Ovis aries: one gene and its partners. The protein of the gene in region 4 interacts with the protein of the main gene of each other region in a pairwise test. Links are inferred from orthologs where the notes say so. Each region holds a gene or a part of one and is shown on either strand. Other genes may lie near its edges.

Region 1 (5,708 bases), on a different chromosome or scaffold from region 4:
TCCCCCCTCAAAAGAGAAGCACAGGGGCCCAGTCAGAGGTTATAACTGAGCTGTGGCAAAGCAATGACTGAGGTCTGGTGAGTATCACCTGGTGGTGTCCCTCCAACTAAGTCTGATCAAGCACAAGGGCACAGTGGACCCTCATGCTTTCTGTGGGGCTGACCAGCAGATACTGGTCCACGATACTGTGGACTCCCTAATATGCTCCATAAGCAAAGTATCCCAGAAGGATGGGCCAGCCAGGTTTGGGGGCCACCTGTGCTGAGCCCTGAAGCTGGCCTGTGATAAATGAAATGTGGTGGGAAAGAGAAACTTCCAGGGGGAATGAAAAAAAGAAAAAGTACAGGCAACAAGTGTGGATGTGGAAAGCTGCGAGCCCAGGGCAGGACAGCAGCTGAAGAAATCAAGAAATCACTTAAAATCAACTAGAAAAAGTCTGCGGTCTGAGGTGGGCAGGACCCCTGCCAGGCTGTTTACAGCAGTGGCCTCAAAGCCAGAAGGCACTGGTGCTTCCTGGGTATCAAAGAGTAAGATGTGCCATGTGATGGCCCCAGGACTCAGGAGCCTGAGGCTCAAGTGCAAGCTCTGCCCCAGGTTCCCAGGGGAGCCTGGGTCCCTGTCAGCCTCAAAATTGTGAGGGGGGCCCAGTCCTGCCTGCAAAGCCTTGAAGGGGGAGCCTTTTGCTGCTGCAGGATCTTCTTCCTCCTCCCATGCTGCAGAGGGGGCATGCAAACCCATGCCAAGCTCGCTGGCCTTTGCACTCATTAATCTCACCGAGATTGGCGCCCACTATACAGGTGAGAAAACTGAGGCTCCAAGAGGGAAGCAGCTGGTGCCAGGCCTCTCCATGTGTCCACAGCAGAGTTGGCGGTATCTGGACTCCTGAGGCTGTCTACCTCCAGCTCCGAGAAGCCCCTCACTCCCCAGCATGCCCCCTGGGTGGGGGACCCAGTGGTCTGCAGGCCCCCACAGAGTCAGAAAACTCTGCAAACAAAGAGGCTTTGCCTCCCTCAGCCTGACTTTCTACCTTGAACAGAGGAGAAAGGCTTGCAGACAAGATGTTTCTTCTGGAAGAGGCCCAAGGCACTCAAGGGGAGAAGCGAAATCATGTGGAAGAGCTGACCACCAGCCATTGAGCCTGAAGCAGGTGGGCCTGGCCTTTAAGAGTCTGACCACGACAGGGCACCCCGCCCTAGGAAGCCCCTGCCCCCACCTGCCCCTTCCACCAGGTTGGGGACATCCGGAAGCCGCCTGTGCACGCGCAGCCTGGGGCACACCTCTTGAGCTGCCATATGTTCAGGACTCGGATTTCTCAGCAGCTGCCACTACCCAGGAGCCTGCCCTTGACACTGGGCGGAGGTGGGGGGAGCGGAATGAGCGGGGCGCAAACATTCAGGAAGAAGCCCCAAGCACTACACAGATCACTTCCTGCCTGGCTTTATCTTGACCCGCCTGCCCCTCAGATCTGTGTTTATAAACAGCGCCAGGCCCACAACAGCTTCCAGAGCCTCAGTTCTGGGCCCCTCAGGAGCCGCATGGAGAAACAGCGGCCTGGATACAACAGTCACACTCAACTGAACAGGGGCTCCTCACTGCAGGAACTCAGAACTCAGCGCATATGGCTACACACCCTCTAGGGGAGTGCCCAGTCCAACCCTTCCCCGCAACCCCTCTCAGGGGCCTCAGGTGAAGAGTCTCAGATTTCCAAGTGTATGAATAAGTCCCCCTTGCTCTCCTCTCAGATCAGCCCATTTTGCATCCATCCCAAAAGATAAGTCTCTGGTTATCACTATGAAAGGTTTAAGAAAGTGTCTCAAAGAGGGGGTTATTTCAATGACATGTAAAGCACTCCATGGGGACAGCAAGGTGCTGAAGAAGCAGGAAGGTTCCAGAGGATCAGAGAAGGCTGGGTGGCAGTTCTGAGACCCCCTAGGACAGAGGCTCATGGTTTAGAGAACTTGATAAAGGATCAATCTGATCTAATTGGGGAGGGGGCCCCAGTCATGGAAGGGTCAAGTAGAGTTCATCAGATCATATTTCAAGGCCCTAGATGGTATAATAGTTCAGACCCTACTCTCTGGCTGGAGTGGCAGGCCTGCATCTAGAGCCACAGGCCCACAGTGCCCTGAGGAAGTTAAATTTCAGGGCTCCAGGGGACTTCAGGCCATAGGATGCCACCTTGGGCTGGCAGGGTTCGGACCCCTGCATCTCTAGGGCAACTCTCAATTTCTCAAAACAGAGCGGTGGCCGCATGTGTGATGCAGGTATAGGTGGAGGGCACTCAGGGGTGAAGGGAGAGTAATACTGGATAATCACAGAACCATGAGGGCTGTATTTCAGATCCCCGTGGGAAGCAAAGGGAGACGGAGGGAGAGGGAGGAGCGAGAGAGAGAAAACATTTACAGGTCAGGACCCCTGGGAGGAAAGATCAGCGGGGGAGGGGGCGGGGCCTGTCTTGCTAGGTCCCTTCCCCACCTCCGAAAGATGAGCGGCCTTGAGTAAACTTCTCAGGCAAGAACCTAGCCTAGTCAGGGGCAAGGGTTCTGGAGCCTCACCTCACAGGGGCCTCTGACAGTAGATACTTCCCTGGGAGAGAGATGCACCCAGCTTAGTGCCAAGACGGTTAAAAGGGGCCTCAAGCTAGAAGGAGTAACATCCTTGGGATGTAGAATGTGGACCCCAGACAGCAATGCAGGGGAGACAGACTAGGAACCATTTTAAAGAACCTTGCAATCAACTGGGGACATTCCAAGGATCAACGTAAGAGACCCGCAGAAAGAGCAGGGCCTCAGACGCCAGAGCTGGGCTGTCTAAACAGATCTAAAGAGAGGCTGTGTGCGGAGTGTGGTCTGAGCAGTAGACTCGTGATGGCCTGAGTATAAGGGAAGCAGCTGGGGTTGGAAACGGGGTCTGATCCTCCGAGTGTGGAGTCTAGGGCTCCCAGGAGCAGAGTTCACAGCTGCACAAATGCTGTCGGGAGGAGAAAGAGTGAGAAGGAACGCAAAACCCAGGACCTGTGACTGAGAGAAAAGAGTTAGGAAGGAGCTGACACCAGGACCAAGGCTCCATCACACCGGGAAGGCAAGCTCAGGAAGGCAAGCTCAGTTAACACCGCGCTCACTCCGGGGTGAGAAGGGTGTCAGGAGGGGGCGGGGCTCTGGGACCAGAGCGGGAGCTGAATAAGGGCTCTAAACCCCAGCCTGGGGTACAGACCCTCAAGAGACACCCTGTGTTTGGGGGCGGTTCAGGATCCCCAGCTCATCACCCGTGGCAGAAAACTCAGAGGACCCTTCCGAGCAGAGAGCCGCCAAGCGCAGCCTGATCAGCTGGGCGAGGAGACTTGAGACCCAGATGCCAGCCCACTATACCATGGGAAGCGGTGAGAGGCGGACACTCCCCCAAGCCAAAGAGCGCCGACCTCGAGGAAGGGACGAGCAGCCCAACCCGTCACGCTGTCCGGGGGGAATGTGCCTCAAGCTGGAGGCGCGGCCCTGTGCCTGCGTTCAGCGCGATCTGGACCCTAGTCGCTAGGGTTGGAGAGGGGAGGACCCAACCTCACGCCTGGGGGGGCCGAACCCCCTGCTCGGAGACTGGGGTGAGGTTTTGGGGGCCCCGCCCCCGGCCTCCCGCGCCCCGCCCGCAACCGGAGCCCCCAGGCCAGGGACGGGCGAGGGGGCAGGACGCCGAGCCGCAGGCGGGCCGCGCCGTGGGGCCCCGAGCGGAAGGCACAGACCTCGGGCTGCCGCCCGACCCCCGTCCCCCGCCCGCCCTGGCCGGCGCCGCCGCCGCTCACTCACTTTGGCCTCCACCAGTTCCGCCGCCATCTTGGCCACCAGCGTCCCCCGCGCCGGGAGCCCCCAGCCGTCGCGTCACGTGATCGCCTTCCATTCGCGGGCGGGGCCCGCGCCGCGGCCAATTATCACCCTCGCGCCCTCCTCCCCTCTGGCGCGCGCGACCGCGCACTGCGCAAGCGCGCGCGGCACCGCCCGGGCCTCCGGCCAATCAGGGCTGCCCGACTACGCACCCACCCTCCCCGTTTCACTCACTGTGACCACGCCCACCCCTGGCCGTGTCTGGTTTCTTAAAGGGGTACAAGGCCGGCACAGGTTGGGGCGGATACTGGGTCCTGTCTGACGAGAGAGTAGACAGTTGAGGCGACAACAATGCAGCCAGGTGTCGCGGTCTCCTGCGCGAGGCAGCCTCCAGGTGCGTGACCGGACGCCTCGCTGCCAGGAGGGAGAAAATGGTTGGCCCGCGCAGCGGCCGCCACTGCGTGCAGTGAGGCGCCGTGGAGCGCAGCGCGGTTCATTCTCAGCGGGCCGGGAGCCCCACGCGCTGTACATCCGGGTCCTGGGGTGGCTGAGAGGGCGAGGGCGCCACACCCCCTTGGTGCGCCGCCGGCGGAGAAATGCTGTACCCCCTACCCAATTCCCGCGGTGCAGGTGACCACCCTCCCGCCCACTTCCGCCTCTCCACCCACGGTAAACCTTTGGAATTTGCGCTAATCGGAAATTTACCAGCTTTAGAGCTCTCCGTGGCTCCCCAGTGTCGGTGAGCTGCTAAGCCCAAACTTTCTTGTGTCAAAGAAAGCAAGAGGATAAAAACGTATTTCGGGGCCCATCCCTTGAGAAAATGAAGCGCGCCAAATGACTCAGTTATCAAGTTACTAATTTTTATATAAAAATGCAGAAATAGCCATGATGAAGAAAATAATAAAATTTAAGAGAGTATCAGTTCAGCCCTCAGTCGTGTCTGACTCTTTGCGACCCTATGAATCGCAGCACGCCAGGCCTCCCTGTCCATCACCAACTCTCTGTCGTCCCCTTTTCCTCCTGCCCCCAATCCCTCCCAGCATCAGGGTCTTTTCCAATGAGTCAACTCTTCGCATGAGGTGGCCAAACTACTGGAGTTTCAGCTTTAGCATCACTCCTTCCAAAGAACACCCAGGACTGATCTCCTTTAGAATAGACTGGTTGGATCGCCTTGCATTCCAAGGGACTCTCAAGAGTCTTCTCCAGCACCACAGTTCAAAAGCATCAATTCTTCGGCGCTCAGCTTTCTTCACAGTCCAACTCTGACATCCATACATGACCACAGGAAAAACCATAGCCTTGACTAGACGGACCTTTGTTGGCAAAGTAATGTCTCTGCTTTTTAATATGCTATAAGAGGTTATACAACTTTGTATAAGTGACTTCCCTCGCCTCACCAGAACTGTAACTCAGCAGGGTTTTGTTTTACTTTTCTTACAGTTACTTTCTTTTTTTTTTTTTAAGGGTGTGAGAACTTCCCTAGGGGTCCAGTAGATAAGACTTTGCCTTCCAATGCAGGGGGATGAGTTTGATCCTTGGTAGGGGCGGGGAGGAAACAAAACATAGAAAGAATGTTGTAACAAATTCAGTAAAAACTTCAAAAATGATCCATATCAAATAAATTTTAAATAAATAAAGCCATTAAAAAAAGAAAAGGTGCACAACTGGCACCCTTGACCCTTAGGCACCCTTCATCTAGCTTCTCCCAATGATAATATCTTACATAACCAACCACAGTGTGTTGTCAAAACCAGGAAATTGATGTTGATACCACACAGTCAATTCAAGTACAAATACTTGGATTTCACCAAGTTTTTTATGCACTTTCCCTTTGATGGTAAGTTCCCTGATAGCTCAGTCAGTAGAGAATCTGCCTGCAATGGAGAACACCTGGGT
Region 2 (4,535 bases), on a different chromosome or scaffold from region 4:
CTACTGGAAAAACCATAGCTTTCACCATATGGATCTTTCTATACCTAGACGGCCTTCTTTCCAACTTTAAGGAGCATGTGCAGGTCTCCAATGTCCACCCATGCAAGAAACAGTAAATCTAAAGTACTCAGGTTCTACTGGTTTTAAAGTCTAAGAATCAACAAAATGCATCTATCCTGCTGCCCCAAGCAGAGATTCTTAGGTATAGAAATCTACAGTCAGGATGTATTTCTAGTCATAAAGTTTCTCCAGTGAGACTTAAAGGGAGTAGCTAGTCATGCTCACTAGACCAGCACAATGAGCATTATGGGCAGTTTCTTTAGACCACAACTAATGGTTTCTAATTTTCAATCAAATACCTGTTCTTGAACACCCTTTTCAAGAGTGGCTGCCAAAAGTCTGCTTGATTTACATTCTTTGTTGAGTCATCTGAAGAAGTGACTTGATGATATAAGTCTAGGGAAAAAGGGTGAAGCCACCATGTAGGTGACCTATAGTAATGTAATGTCACCAGGAGCAAGGAATGAAAATTGTAAGGTCAATATGATTAAAGGAAATGTTCTGGGCATATGATACTTCAAGACATTGTTCACTTGGAAATTACAACTTGTCATCCAAACAGCGAATAGCACACAAAATATAACAAAGTTCAATAAGAGGCTTCAATATTCACAGGATATTCAAGAATCTGCACACTAATGAGCATGAAAATGGATTTTGTAGTAACTCAGGTTCCACACATTAATTTTTATGAGCTCATCACAAGAACAGAAGCTTCCCTGAGAGCTCAGGGGAAAAGAGACATATCACTGTATCTATACTAATTCAAAAGTGTCTAATGTTATTAATACTTCATCTGTCCTGGTATCTTTTCCAGCTACCAAGATACATAAGGTACCTCACTATACTCCCAGAAGTTATTCTGCTTTCTTCACTCACTATATTTTCAACAGTACCTTTTAAGTAAGCTGTCTATATTCTTTCTCTAGATTGTGACCATCTTGACGATTGTGTCATGTCTTTTTCATCTTTGCACTCCTAACAAATAACAGTGCCTGACATTTGTTAGCAATCAATAAAATCCTACCAACTAAGTCAAATCTTCTTTTTACTTGATTAAACCATCTAAAAATCTAAACCAATGCTACTCAAAGTAGCAAGACCACAGACTGTTTGTTTATGATAAGGCGTTTGAGCCAGAATGTGTGAAAGAATGGCTTCCTTTTTTGAGCAAGCCTTGCTATGAAAAAATGTTTAGCTAAACTAAGCAACGCTATCTGACCTATATTCTTGCCCCACTTTGAGCCAAACACTTTGACAGTTAGACAAAGACATTTTTATAAAGAAAATTAACTTTATGGGTGAAAGTTAAAATTAACTTTCATCTACTTTTATAGCATATGTATATTTACAAATACCCAAAATGTTTAAAAATACAGGGATCTACTTTCACTGGTTAAAAAAATATAATAAAATAAAGACACAGAGCACTTAAAAAGTTTTTTTTTTTTAAAGCCAAGACACATTAAAAAAAAAACCTAATAAATTTTTAATTAGAATTTTTTTCCTTTTTTTAAACAGGACAAGTAACAGATTACATCAAACTTCAGAACTTCTCAAATATCTAGTTATTATACACATTCCCATCTGTCTTGCAGGGAGGGATCTTGGTCGGCTTAACAGTTTCAGGTAAAATAAGCTGCATAATAGTATATATTACAGTAGTAAGTGTACAATGCTTACATGGAATATGTTTTAGAAGCAAGAAAAAGATGCATATGCATCAAAAGGCGACCTCTTAAAATGCCACAACTATTTTTTTACATTCACTCTTGTAACAGGTCACAAGATGGGGTCACTAAGCTCAGATAAATCACTGTGATGCACATAAAATACAGAAAGATTGGTTATTATATATATTATATATATATTTATATTTTCACATGTTAGCATCTGAGACATAAACTGAGAATTTAAAATTTATTCTCTTCAGATAACAAATCATTTTTTATTCTTCATAAACATGGTGCCCACAAAAGCACACAGGTAAGGCACAATAAGGTTTTCTGTTACAGAACAGTGTGCATCATGTTTACTTAACCAGGAAACGTGCATTAACTGTGCAAGTTCATGCTGCAAACCTAACACATATACAATTTTAAATAAAAGAAAACTGAGCTTTAAACAAAATCAAAATTGGTACAATTTCAGCTTTTTCACATATTCATTTGGACTGACAATGATATATCAACAGGTTATTTTTAAAAAGCCAATTGCTACATTACAAGTAAACTTTACTCCGTTAACTATTTTAATCTGAAATCATAAACCATAATAAAGTAACTTTACTGAAACAAAGTAAATACCCAGGCACAAAGTGACCATCACTCGTGCATTTAATATACTGCGAACTTTCATAACCCAAAATTGCGAACGGAATTTTTCAAATACACATTTTGCTGCGACAATGTGCCCTGTTTTAAACTTGACATAGAACAGGGAAGCTAACATTTCATTAAATTATAAATAGATTGGGAAAATGATTTAATTCCAGCGGTACTATGTCATAGCCCTAGTATTTATAATAAATACAGCTTTTCACAAAATATTTTCCCAATATCTGCCAATTGCTTTTTTATTGCTCACATAAATTTGAATCTATTACAACTGATATTGGAACTTTCACACAAAATCATACTCAGACATTTTTATATAAAACCTATAAAAGTTATTTTAAACTTGTATCTAATACTTCCAGGTGTTTGGCTGTTTGATCTGTATGATAGTACAGCCATATGTATATATGTGTGTGTATATATACACATATACACATACACACATATATATATACATACACACATATATACACATACATATATATACACACATTAGATTATGAATAAAATAGGAAGCTTATTTTACTGCTTTAATGCAGACATCCTCACAAAACAGACTACTTTGGCTGTCACCAGCATTTATACATATATACAAAAGCCAGTTTAAGTACATGTACATCCACTTACACGTTTATGTAACCACTAAACCCGAATTGATTTTCCCATATTCCAGCTGTAGCAAATGAATCTCTTACAAGCAATAGAAACCTAAGGTTAAATTGGGAAATTAATAGTTTTACCACATTAGCCTGTAAGGAACTATTTAGGTGACTGTATACAAAAATTCACAATATCAGTTTACAGGAAATTATGGAAAAACAAGAAGCCTTTTCCCCATGCTTTTGTGTGGTTATTCAAACACTTCTTGGTGCAAAAATACAACCATCACATCTGAAAATGCTTAATAAGGTCAATGTTCCTCATGCAAAACTTTTAAGTGCATTGGCTTAACTGAACTCCAAAAACTGAACAAAACAATTACTCTATCTACTCAGCATTGCTGCCTCACTGCTAAGTCCCTTTGGAACCTTAAGATTTCTGGAACGTTCAAATAGAGCTGTATTCAATAAAAATATTACATACAAAAAGCATTTAAAAAGGGAGACAGGAAGCCAAACAGGAATTTTCCTACTGTAAAGAACAGTCTTAGGAGTGGAAGAAAGTCTTTTCAGGAACCTCCTTGAGAATTGCCTAGGCCAGTCCGAAGACGAAGATGAGACATAGAGTTCATGTGTTTATTTGATGGCTTCAAGGGAGTGTTGCAAGTAAGAGCCTGGGGAAAGCGATGGTGATATCTATCTAGTCGTAAATATTTTACTGTAACCAATTTCCCTGTTGTAAGATAAAAATAACATTTTAGATCTGTGTGAATGTGCTTAATATTAATAGAAATCAAACTGTGGTAAAAGACAAATGAACACACAAAAAATAATCTAAAATTATTATTCTATAAATGATAACCTAAGATTCTTTCATTTAAAATCTGGTAGAATTTAACAGTAAGCCATAATTTATCTTTTCAAAATGTTTGTAGTATTCAAGTTTCTTACCATCAAACCAAGAGCCATGCAATGCCTTAAAAGCTTTCCCAGCATATTCTGGAGACAGACATTTAACATATACACAACCCTGGAATATTTTAAAAAGAAAACAAAAAGGAAGAAAGAAAGAGTCTTAGTTTAATAGCAATAATTCAACATGAAGAATTCAATAGTGAAAGCTACTTTACCTCACGAGAGTTCTTGTCTACTGCAATGTGAACAATGCCATCGTTATCACTGCATTTTTCTAAAATTGCTTCTTGAATTGCCAAATGCCACTGATCCCCTATTTCCCTAAAAAATTAATGAAAAAAAAATCAACAGCCACATTCCTACTCAGAAAGCAGTTTTCTGTCTCTTCAATGAGTGCATACTAAGTTGCTTCAGTTGTGTCTGACTCTGCAACCCCATGGACCGTAGCCTGGCAGGCTCCTCTGTCCATGGGATTCTCCAGGCAAGAATACTGGAGTGGGTTGCCATGCCCTCCTCCAGGGGATCTTTCTGACCCAGGGATTGAACCGGTGTCTCTTATGTCTCCTGCATTGGCAGGTGGGTTCTTTACCACTAGCATCACCATATACCTAACTAGAATTAGGAC
Region 3 (5,468 bases), on a different chromosome or scaffold from region 4:
GATCAGGGTAACACACCAAACGTAACACAAAGTAAGCAAATGCTGTTGGAAAAATTACACCTAAACTTACTCAATGCAGAGTAGCCAGAGACCTTCCATTTGTAAAACACACTGCAGTATCTGCAAAGCATAAAAACAAGGTATGCCTGTAGTAGTTTTGGGGTTTCCTGCCTATACTAGTTTCTCAAAAAGAGGTTTAGAAAAGATACTACACCATCAGTATTACCCAGGATGTTTTTTAAAATTCAAGTTTAACACCATCCTGGCAAAAGAACTGGCTAATAACTCCCAACTGATTTGACTCACAACTACAGGACTTCTAAGTGAACACAATATTCTAAGAGGTCTTACAGTGCTGCTGCTAAGTCACTTCAGTCGTGTCCGACTCCGTGACCCCATAGACCGCGCCCACCAGGCTCCCACATCCCTGGGATTCTCCAGGCAAGAACACTGGAGTGGGTTGCCATTTCCTTCTCCAATGCATGAAAGTGAAGTCACTCAGTCGTGTCTGACTCTTAGTGACCCCATGGACTGCAGCCTACCAGGCTCCTCTGTCCATGGGATTTTCCAGGCAAGAGTACTGGAGTGGGGTGCCATTGCCTTCTCTGATCTTACAGTGCTAGAAATCAGTAGTAGATTTGGAAATAAACATTTAGGTTATATGTCAAAATTAGGTTTCCCCATGAAGGGTGAGGACGTTGGATGGGTGCAGGATTAAGGCTATTACTTCAGGTTTGGGAGTAATCTACAGGTCGACTAGATGTTACATTTCCATCTTTGAAATGATGTTTTAACAAATTCCATATGCAGTCAACATTAACCAGAAAGTCTATTTCAGAGTCTAGTGCATGGGTGAGAATGTTGAAGAAAAATGTTAAACACAAAAGCTAATTATCACACAAAGATCAAGTCTGACTTTTACAGAAAGCAGCCTTCAGTAGAGACCCAAATGAAGACAGTAGTGGAGCTTCTGTATTATGCAGAGAAGTCTATATGTGCTACAAGAACCAGAGTTCTCTGACTATGCAGGGAGATGGCATATAGCAGTACTTAGCAGTTTCATTCTTGGTGTGACTTAGTCAAATGATACAACCACTCAGCCAGCATTTCAAAGGATTTATTTATTTTACAAAAAGAATAGTACCTTTGAACCAACCAAGTTCAAAGTTAGAAGAAGGGTACAACTTCAGTTCTGGATGACACATCTGTATTTCATTCAAAGCCACTAAAAAAAGAGATGATAAAATCATGAAGCCATAGAGTGAGAAATCAATTCCCAAAAGTAGCTCTATCTTCAACCCAAACCCTTGCCACCCAGAGAATTTTTGGTTGAGACCTCCAGAAAAACCAACCTTACTACAACCAGGATCTCCCAACTATTATTCCACTGTAATTTTAATGTCAGTCACCTGATCATGTGGGCAATATCCCAGTTGGTCTCCGCAGACAGGGGTCCCTCTATTTCAACACCTTTTTCAGTTACAGTGGCAATTTGAAACTGAAAAAAAAAGCAGAGCTCTCAATGAAAATACCAACCCTGTCATCAAAGACGCCTCAGGCCTGGTCAAAGGTCAAATGGAGGGTTTTTCTGAAATGTGAAAAATAGACACAGAAATGGCCTGTTCTTCAACATATAGAGACTCAGGAGTTGCACAGCCTGCCAATTAGATCCCCATTTACTATTCACACTTCTCACCCGGTTATAAGAACGGGCATCTCGATAGTACAGCACTCGCATGCAGCGTTCCACTAGTTCTCGGGCCTCCATCTGGCTCAGCACTGGCTGCTTCTCCAGAACTTCTCGCAGCAGAGGCTAAGGAGATGGGAGGAAAAAACAGGAGATACCATGGGCTGAATACCAGATGATCTGTTGCAAATCCATGATGTAAAGAGAATCATAAGTGAAAAGCTGACATTCTACTTACTGCCTCAGCAGAATGAATTCTGCTTACTTGTGCTAAGACCCACTTGAAGGGGAAATTCATGGGTGTCCTCACTTTGCATACATATACTGACTCACTCCAAGACATACCCCACCTTGTCATTACAGCCTCTAGACCAAAAATAAACCCAGCAGTAGGGAACATAGTCTGTTTCTCATGCCCGAATTTAAAGGGTAAAACAGACAGCCACTAATCTTACCTTCTGTCTTCTACCCCTCAACTGACTACTTACCTGAGCCAAGTATGCACCGTAACCAGTGGCCAGCGAAGGGGCTTCATAGGCCACACCAAGCATGTCCACATAACCCAGGAAGCTAAAAAGACACAATAGGTCATCTTAGGTTTCTGTATCTTAGCTGAAGAATGGGACTATAGGGTCTGAGGCAGAAGTGGGATTCACTCAGGGGGGAGAGACAGACACTAAACAGGCACTAGAGGTTGGGTGGTCAAGGAAATTAAGTTATTTGTATTAAAATCAACCTGTCTCCATCAGCATAACCTCCAATGACCATGGTGTTCCACAGGGGGTTCATCTTGGAGCGGCGACTGTACATGGCCCTGGTCAGCCATGAATGAATAGCTTTAGGACTATAGCTGTGTCCGTCTCCCAACAGCTCCTCATCAATCCTTATAAAAGAACAGAAGTCAGGATTTCCATCCACCCCGAAAAGACGTTACCACAATCTTCCCCATTTAAACCCACTGAAATAAACTATTTGCAAAACTTCTCACATCTTTCACCCCCAGCAAGTCTCCCTGTTCTCTACCCGCAGAAATTTTTGAAGGGATTAAAAAACTGTGGGTTCCCCTCCCCACTTGGCAACTACTTCTACTCTCTAGATGACTTACACCATTTGCCCGAGAACCTGCTTCAAATACTGGAAATCAGCATAGTCTCCGGAAGCACCCAGCATGGTGCTGTTGTTGACTCGCATAATGCGAGAGATGTTGCGGAAACGAGCCAAGGAGCCATAGGAGCCCAGCATGTCTGCTGCGATCACCACTCCGCCCTCAAACTTGAGCCCCAGGACAGAGGTCCCGGTCACCATGGGGTTCCTAGAGAGAGAGGGAGGTCTGCTGAGGGGCGGCGCGGCGAAAAGCACGAGCCGGCTTCCGGAGCTGCGGGCTCCGTTTCTGACTTTCCACGGCTCCTTTCATTCTCCGAGACCTTCCTCCCTGAGCTCCCCCGCTGTCGCGCGCCCCGGGTCTTCGCCTCGACTTCCCCGGCTCCCAGAACCGGCGGGAGGCACCAGGCCCCACTGTCCCTCCCCCTGCGCAGGCTAAGGCGCCAAGAGCTTACTGGGTGCGCGTAATCGGAGCCCCGTACAGCGCGGACGCCGGGTCCACAGAGGAACCTGGAGTGGACGGAATGCGGTAAAACTGCCCGGGGACCGGACCCCCGGCCCAAAGTCCGGACCGCGACTCCAGCAGTGCTTCCATCTTAGTCACGGTAGCACGAGAAGTGAAAGCTTTTGCACCAACGGAAGCGGAAGTGATCCTGCAGTGCCGCACCTTTCTTCTTCCTACAAGCCACTTCCAGCAGCCATGTTGATGAGGTCGGGGCCGACCGTACCTGTGTCCCGGGCAGCGATCGAGACCCTGAGAACTGGAATTGCGTGACCTCGTGTCACAACGCGGAAGAGTCTGGACTAGAACTGTGTTCAGACACACGAATTCAAGGAAGGGGTGGGTGGTGTGGGAGATGGATATGGGGCGGGGGTGGGGCACTTCAAGACGCTGACGCTGCGCGAGGAAGCAGCTCTCTTTCTAGATTGGAAAAGAAAACCCCGTACGAAACTAACAGTGAACTCAGGGTCTGTTAAATTTGTATTTCTCAAAGCAGCCTCATGTGGCATATTAGACCCATTTTACAGATAAGAAACCGAGACTTGTGTAGCGATTAACCCGTTCACAGAGCAAGTAATGGTAGGTCTGAGTTTTCAAACTCAGAATTTAAAAAAGGAATCAAACAGTTGCGAGTACCTTGGGATATGTGCTCTGTCAGGTGCATCACTCACTCTGTAGGACCTTGGACAAATCTGTGAAAGTTTTCTGATTGTCAGATGCTCTTGCCTACCTCTTAGCAGAAAAATTCGGTCGACTGTGGGAGTGTAACTAAATTCCAAGCGTTCCCATCTCAGTGTGATTCTGTAGCAGTGCCTGAAAGCAGTGTCTAGAATCAAACAATAATCCTAAAACTACTCCTTTGCCACTCCTCCCTTCACAACTAGATGCAAAATTTTTTACTCAGCAGGAAACCAAAGCAGTTTTGTTTTTTAAATTCCCTGAGTTAATTTGAACTAAAGCAATGCATGAAATTTTAGCTTAATTGAAATGAAGTTATTTCATTAGGTCTTGAAACCCTGGAAAGGGAAGGGTCAAGATCTTGCATTCAGTTCAGTTCAGTTCAGTTCAGTCGCTCAGTCCTGTCCGACTCTTTGCGACCCCGTGAATCGCAGCACGTCAGGCCTCCCTGTCCGGCCTCCCTGTCCATCACCAACTCCCAGAGTTCACTCAGACTCAGGTCCATCGAGTCAGTGATGCCATCCAGCCATCTCATCCTCTGTCGTCCCCTTCTCCTGCCCCCAATCCCTCCCAGCATCAGAGTCTTTGCCAATGACTCAACTCTTCTCATGAGGTGGCCAAAGAACTGGAGTTTCAGCTTTAGCATCATTCCTTCCAAAGAAATCCCAGGGCTGATCTCCTTCAGAATGGACTGGTTGGATCTCCTTGCAGTCCAAGGGACTCTCAAGAGTCTTCAACACCACAGTTCAAAAGCATCAATTCTTCGGTGCTCAGCCTTCTTCACAGTCCAACTCTCACATCCATACATGACCACAGGAAAAACCGTAGCCTTGACTAGACGGACCTTAGTCGGCAAAGTAATGTCTCTGGTTTTGAATATGCTATCTAGGTTGGTCATAACTTTTCTTCCAAGGAGAAAGTGTCTTTTAATTTCATGGCTGCAGTCACCATCTCCAGTGATTTTGGAGCCCCCCAAAATGAAGTCTGACGCTGTTTCCACTGTTTCCCCATCTATTTCCCATGAAGTGATGGGACCAGATGCCATGATCTTCGTTTTCTGAATGTTGAGCTTTAAGCCAACTTTTTCACTCTCCTCTTTCACTTTCATCTAGAGACTTTTGAGTTCCTCTTCACTTTCTGCCATAAGGGTGGTGTCATCTGCATATCTGAGGTTATTGATATTTCTCCCGGCAATCTTGATTCCAGCTTGTGTTTCTTCCAGTCCAGCGTTTCTCATGATGTACTCTGCATATAAATTAAATAAGCACCCAACTGATGCTCTTTGTGTCAATTTTTAGACTTGAAAACCAGGTAGTCTATTTTTTCCTTCTAATTAATAGCCATCCTCTCCCAACCCCCATATTCCAGGTGATTCTTGGGCCTCTCAGAAGCTTACTTAGACACATAGCAGGTGATAACAAAAGGCTTACTGGGATTCCTCCAAAACTGCTAGAATCCTTGACTTTCATAGCTAGGAGAGCCCTCATCACATGAACTTTA
Region 4 (4,896 bases):
GTGTCCCAGAGTTTGCTCAAACTCATGTCCATTGAGTCGGTGATGCCATCCAGCCATCTCATCCTCTGTCATCCCCTTCTCCTCCTGCCTTCAGTCTTTCCCAGCATCAGGGACCACCAGGGAAGTCCCTAATTTTTGACTTAGCATTTTGACTAAAGTGAATTTTAAAATTAGGACGGTGACTTGCCAGCATTGTTTGTGTTTATTGTTTTTATTGATAGGGAGGAAATATAATAAATAAAACATGAAGATCCATGTTCTTATTCTGTCATGTGATTAAGGCCCAGAGATTCCTTCCTGATCCCCTGTTCATTATCTTTAAAATGGGTGGCTGTAGGTAGGGAACTGGGGTCCCTTATTATTATCAAAGGACCACTCTAGGAGAATTTATGACTGTAATGCTCCAATTGGCTTTCTTCTCAAACTTATCTCTTATTGATTACCCAATCAATGTTAATGATTTTACTTTTACAGGTTTTTAATTACTTACTTTTACATAAGTGAAAACCACCTTTACACTAATAAAAAGTATTTATAATCAAAGATAGGCATTAAAAATAGATTAGCATTTCATTCACTCAGCAAACATTTTTTAGCACCATTCCAAAATAGCAATACAAAGATGATAAAACACCTAAAGTCTCTAGCTTCAAGATTCTGATGGCTCAGCCTATGTTTAATTATAATATAAATTGATATTGGAATGAAGGGTTATACAAGCTATAAAGGACAAGGCTGAGAAGCTAGATTTGGACAGTTAAACATTTTAACCTCTTGCTGACATGATAAAGGGCAGCTACTTACTACATGAGCCACAAAAAATGTGATCACTGTACAGCCTTGTTCTTTATTAGCATAAGCACTACATACTCTTCCCTCAGCATCTTAGAGAAAGGATGGAAAACATTTCAATAATATTAATAGCTGATTTTGTACTACTTAGTGAAAATGATCGATTTTGGACTTTAAACATGTATTTTATAAATTATTTGCACAGTAGACTCCCCATATGTGAAAATTCTAAGTCATTTCGGCTCAACAAGCATCTTCTGCTTTGTGCCAATCACTCTGCTAGATGTTTGAGAAAAAAAAATTAGTGAGATCTGGTCTCTACCTTCAAAGAACTTACTGTCTAGTGCAGAAACATGCACTTAAACCTTCCCATTAAAGTTAGCAGCATGTTGATACATTTACAGATGCATGGATGTTTATACCTGTGCGGTTCATATATTTCAAGTTTCTTCTGAAAGTTCTGATATTCAGATACATTACTTGAAATTCCTGAGATAGATAAAGAGAACCCAGCCTTCTCTGACATCTCTCAGGAAACAAGGGTTTATCAGTATCTCATATGCCTTCATCCACCACACCCGTAAGGATTTGATGTTTGCAATAGCAAAATTATTTTTCTCTTTTTCATAGGGACTTCTTCTGTCAACTGTCATGTCCTAATTCAGTAATCCTGAAGGTCTCTGGCAAGCTACCCTCTTTTACAAATGATCCAAGTCACTGGTTAGGTGTTCCTAATAGATTTTTGGATACTTACGTGCTCCTTCCAGATTTGCTTAGAGATCAAAAGGTCAGGAGCTCTGTGTTAGCAAGGGCTGAATAGGGAGAAACAGAATGTCAGTTTGTCTTACATACCTTTTTTTCTTATTTTCTTGATGATAAGAGAAGAGTTTAACAATACCTGTCATCATAGTATGGGGACATAATGGACAGTGAAAATGAAAGTTACAAAGTGGCTATTACAACAGCCTTATAATGTAGTTTGGGCTTCTGTGGTGGCTCAGACCGTAGAGAATCTGTCTGCAGTACAAGAGCCATGGGGTCAGTCCCCTGCTTGGAAAAATTCCCTGGAGAAGGGAATGGCAATCCACTCCAGTATTCTTACCTGGAGAATTCCATGGACAGAAGTGCCTGGCGGACTGCAATCCTTGGGATCACGAAGAGTCGGACACTTAATAATGTAGTTTAAAATTTTCATTCCCTGAGACTTATTCTCTTTATTTATTTATTTTTTTAAAAATTTTTTTGGCCATACTGCATAACATGCGGGATCATAAGTTTCCCAGCCAGGGATCCAGCCCGAGCCCCCTGCAGTGGAAATACGGAGTGTTAGCCACTGGACCACCAGGGAGGTCCCCTAAGACCAGTACTTCTTAATCTGGAATCCACATATGGCCTTTGGGGAGCTATGAAATTGTCTGCCAAATCATGCATACACATTTGTATTGTGAAGAGAACCGTATCTTTAATGGGAGTGTCTGGTTGTGTGAGCTGTTTTTACTCCGTAAGTTGAACCCCTGAGTCAAGCAGGTTAAATGACTCCCACTCTTGTTTCCAGGGCTGGGGAGCAGAATACCACCGCCAGGATGTTACCAGCACCCCCTGCTGGATCGAGATCCATCTGCACGGCCCCCTCCAGTGGCTGGATAAAGTCCTTACCCAGATGGGCTCACCTCATAACCCCATTTCATCTGTGTCTTAAACGCCTCAGGCTTCTGCCTCTGGAACACTATTGAGCCTTGCATGTACTTGAAGGATGGATGAGTCAGACAACCATCTGAACTGACAAAGGAGCCTTGACAATACTTGACCTCTGTGACCAACTGTCGGATTCAGAAATTGAAAAACCGGGGTAACATACTGTTGATATCAAGAACCTGTTTCGTTTACATTGTAACATTGGATTGTAAAATCAACTAAAATGCATACTTTTTAGCAGGACTTTGTGTATAGTTAAAGGAGAGAAGGCCAAGCCAGGGACAAATCACCTATTGGAAAAACGATCCTAAGAGAGTCTTTTGTGTTTGGCACTTTAAGGTCATCGTTTGGCAGAAGTTAAGCATTAATAGTCTTTCTGACGTGTGTTTTTATCAGGTTTAGAGCCTGCGTGGAGTCTTCTCTTCGTGGGTTTTCATAATATTTTAAAACTATTCGTTTAGTAAAGGTTTTTGTTTGTTTTTTAAGTAAAGGTTAATCTTGGTGATATACATAGTAATCTTTCTAAAATTGTATGCTGACCATAATGCTGTCAGAATAATGTTAGACATACGCTCTTTGCTAAATATATATGTACAGAATATTTGAAAGTTAAGAATTGATTAGACTAGTGGGTTTAGGAGTATTGAAGGGGGGGTGGGGGGAGAGGGAAAGGACAAATGTAGAATATACTGTAAAAATTCAGTTTGTTGCTTTAAAGAAACAAACTAATATCTGAATTTTGCTGTGTTTCAGTTTTTTAGAGATTTTATCCTTTTTTTTTTTTGCATCTGCTATCTCATCCTCTCCAAAAATAAAAAGTTATGCAGCTGGTTAATTCATATAACTGTGAGAGCAAATGAATAATTCCTTCTGTTCTGAAATTGACAGCCTGTGTATTTCAGTACCACAGTTGAATGGAGTTGCTTGAATTTAATAAGGAGTTTTTATGGAGTTTACAATACAGAAATAGGCTTTAATTTTCAAGTGAATTATTTGCCAAACCTAGTAACTCTGTTAAATATTTGGAGGATTTAAAGAACATCTCTGTTTAAACCAATTTCAAACTTTAAAAAAAATTTTTTTGTACTGTGTTTGGTTTTATTTTTCTTCTGCTAATCTTTTATATTCACTTACGCTCTCATACATTGAGTACTTTTATTCCAAAACTAGTGGGTTTTCTCTACTGGAAATTTTAAATAAACATGTCATTATTGCTTACTTTGATTAAAAGTTGTTTCCTTTCTTCACACGTAAGATGTTAGGATTCATAAAATTCACTGCTTTCTTGAGAGATTTTTCTCAAATATTCTTTGCCAAACATAACTAAATGACTAAAAAACGAAATTGCAGAGGCAGGGAGACTTAATCATGAAAAGAGCAGTACGTGTCTACTCAGTCACTAAATCAGGTCTGACTCTCTGCGACCCCAGGGACTACAGAGGATCCCGCCAGGCTCCTCCGTCCATGGGATCCTCCAGGCGAGAACACTGGAGTCAGTTGCCATCTCCTGCTTCAGGGGATCTTCCCAACCCAGGAATGGAACCCCAGTCTCCCGGGTCTCCTGCGTTGTCAGGCAGAATCTTAACCATTGCGCCACTTCAGTTCAGTTCAGTTCAGTCACTCAGTCGTGTCCGACTCTTTGTGACCCCATGAATCGCAGCACACCAGGCCTCCCTGTCCATCGAAAACTCCCGGAGTTCACTCAGAGTCGCGTCCATTGAGTCAGTGATGCCATCCAGCCATCTCATCGTTGGTTGTCCCCTTCTCCTCCTGCCACCAATCCCTCCCAGCATCAAAGTCTTCTCCAATGAGTCAACTCTTCGCATGAGGTGGCCAGAGTACTGGAGTTTCAGCTTTAGCATCATTCCTTCCAAAGAAATCCCTGGGTTGATCTCCTTTAGAATGGACTAGTTGTATCTCCTTGCTTCGCCAACACCACAGTTCAAACGCATCAATTCTTTGGCGCTCAGCCTTTTCACAGTCCAACTCTCACATCCATACATGACTACTGGAAAAACCATAGCCTTGACTAGACGGACCTTAGTCGGCAAAGTAATGTCTCTGCTTTTGAATATGCTATCTAGGCTGGTCAACACTTTTCTTCCAAGGAGTAAGCGTCTTTTAATTTCATGGCTGCAATCACCATTTGCAGTGATTTTGGAGCCCAAAAAAAGAAAGTCTGACACTGTTTCCACTGTCTCCCCATCTATTTCCCATGAAGTGATGGGACCAGATGCCAAGATCTTCGTTTTCTGAATGTTGAGCTTTAAGCCAACTTTTTCACTCTCCTCTTTTACTTTCATCAAGAGGCTTTTTAGTTCCTCTTCACTTTCTGCCATAAGGGTAGTGTCATCTGCATATCTGAAGTTATTGATATTTCTCCCAGCAATCTTGATTCTAGCTAGTGTT

Evidence for each region.
Region 1: the proteins of SMAD1 (region 4) and PIAS4 interact in a two-hybrid assay, tested with the Homo sapiens proteins (2 studies listed by BioGRID and IntAct). The link is inferred for Ovis aries from reciprocal best matches to the Homo sapiens genes SMAD1 and PIAS4.
Region 2: the proteins of SMAD1 (region 4) and LEMD3 interact in binary tests that used the Homo sapiens proteins (3 or more experiments, as listed by UniProt). The link is inferred for Ovis aries from reciprocal best matches to the Homo sapiens genes SMAD1 and LEMD3.
Region 3: the proteins of SMAD1 (region 4) and PSMB4 interact in binary tests that used the Homo sapiens proteins (3 or more experiments, as listed by UniProt). The link is inferred for Ovis aries from reciprocal best matches to the Homo sapiens genes SMAD1 and PSMB4.

Annotation. Positions count from the first base shown.
Region 1 is NC_056058.1:17,801,298-17,807,005, forward strand, and holds the start of PIAS4 (E3 SUMO-protein ligase PIAS4), read right to left. Parts: upstream 3,850-5,708; 5' UTR 3,825-3,849; coding exon 3,798-3,824; intron 1-3,797.
Region 2 is NC_056056.1:154,710,545-154,715,079, forward strand, and holds the end of LEMD3 (inner nuclear membrane protein Man1), read right to left. Parts: intron 4,232-4,535; coding exon 4,126-4,231; intron 4,026-4,125; coding exon 3,947-4,025; intron 3,729-3,946; coding exon 3,565-3,728; 3' UTR 1,526-3,564; downstream 1-1,525.
Region 3 is NC_056054.1:101,334,523-101,339,990, reverse strand, and holds PSMB4 (proteasome subunit beta type-4), read right to left. Parts: upstream 3,408-5,468; 5' UTR 3,384-3,407; coding exon 3,244-3,383; intron 3,000-3,243; coding exon 2,793-2,999; intron 2,571-2,792; coding exon 2,424-2,570; intron 2,258-2,423; coding exon 2,176-2,257; intron 1,814-2,175; coding exon 1,697-1,813; intron 1,499-1,696; coding exon 1,410-1,498; intron 1,226-1,409; coding exon 1,213-1,225; 3' UTR 1,102-1,212; downstream 1-1,101. UniProt on the Homo sapiens protein: Non-catalytic component of the 20S core proteasome complex involved in the proteolytic degradation of most intracellular proteins. This complex plays numerous essential roles within the cell by associating with different regulatory particles.
Region 4 is NC_056070.1:12,801,335-12,806,230, reverse strand, and holds the end of SMAD1 (mothers against decapentaplegic homolog 1), read left to right. Parts: intron 1-2,347; coding exon 2,348-2,491; 3' UTR 2,492-3,705; downstream 3,706-4,896. UniProt on the Homo sapiens protein: Transcriptional modulator that plays a role in various cellular processes, including embryonic development, cell differentiation, and tissue homeostasis.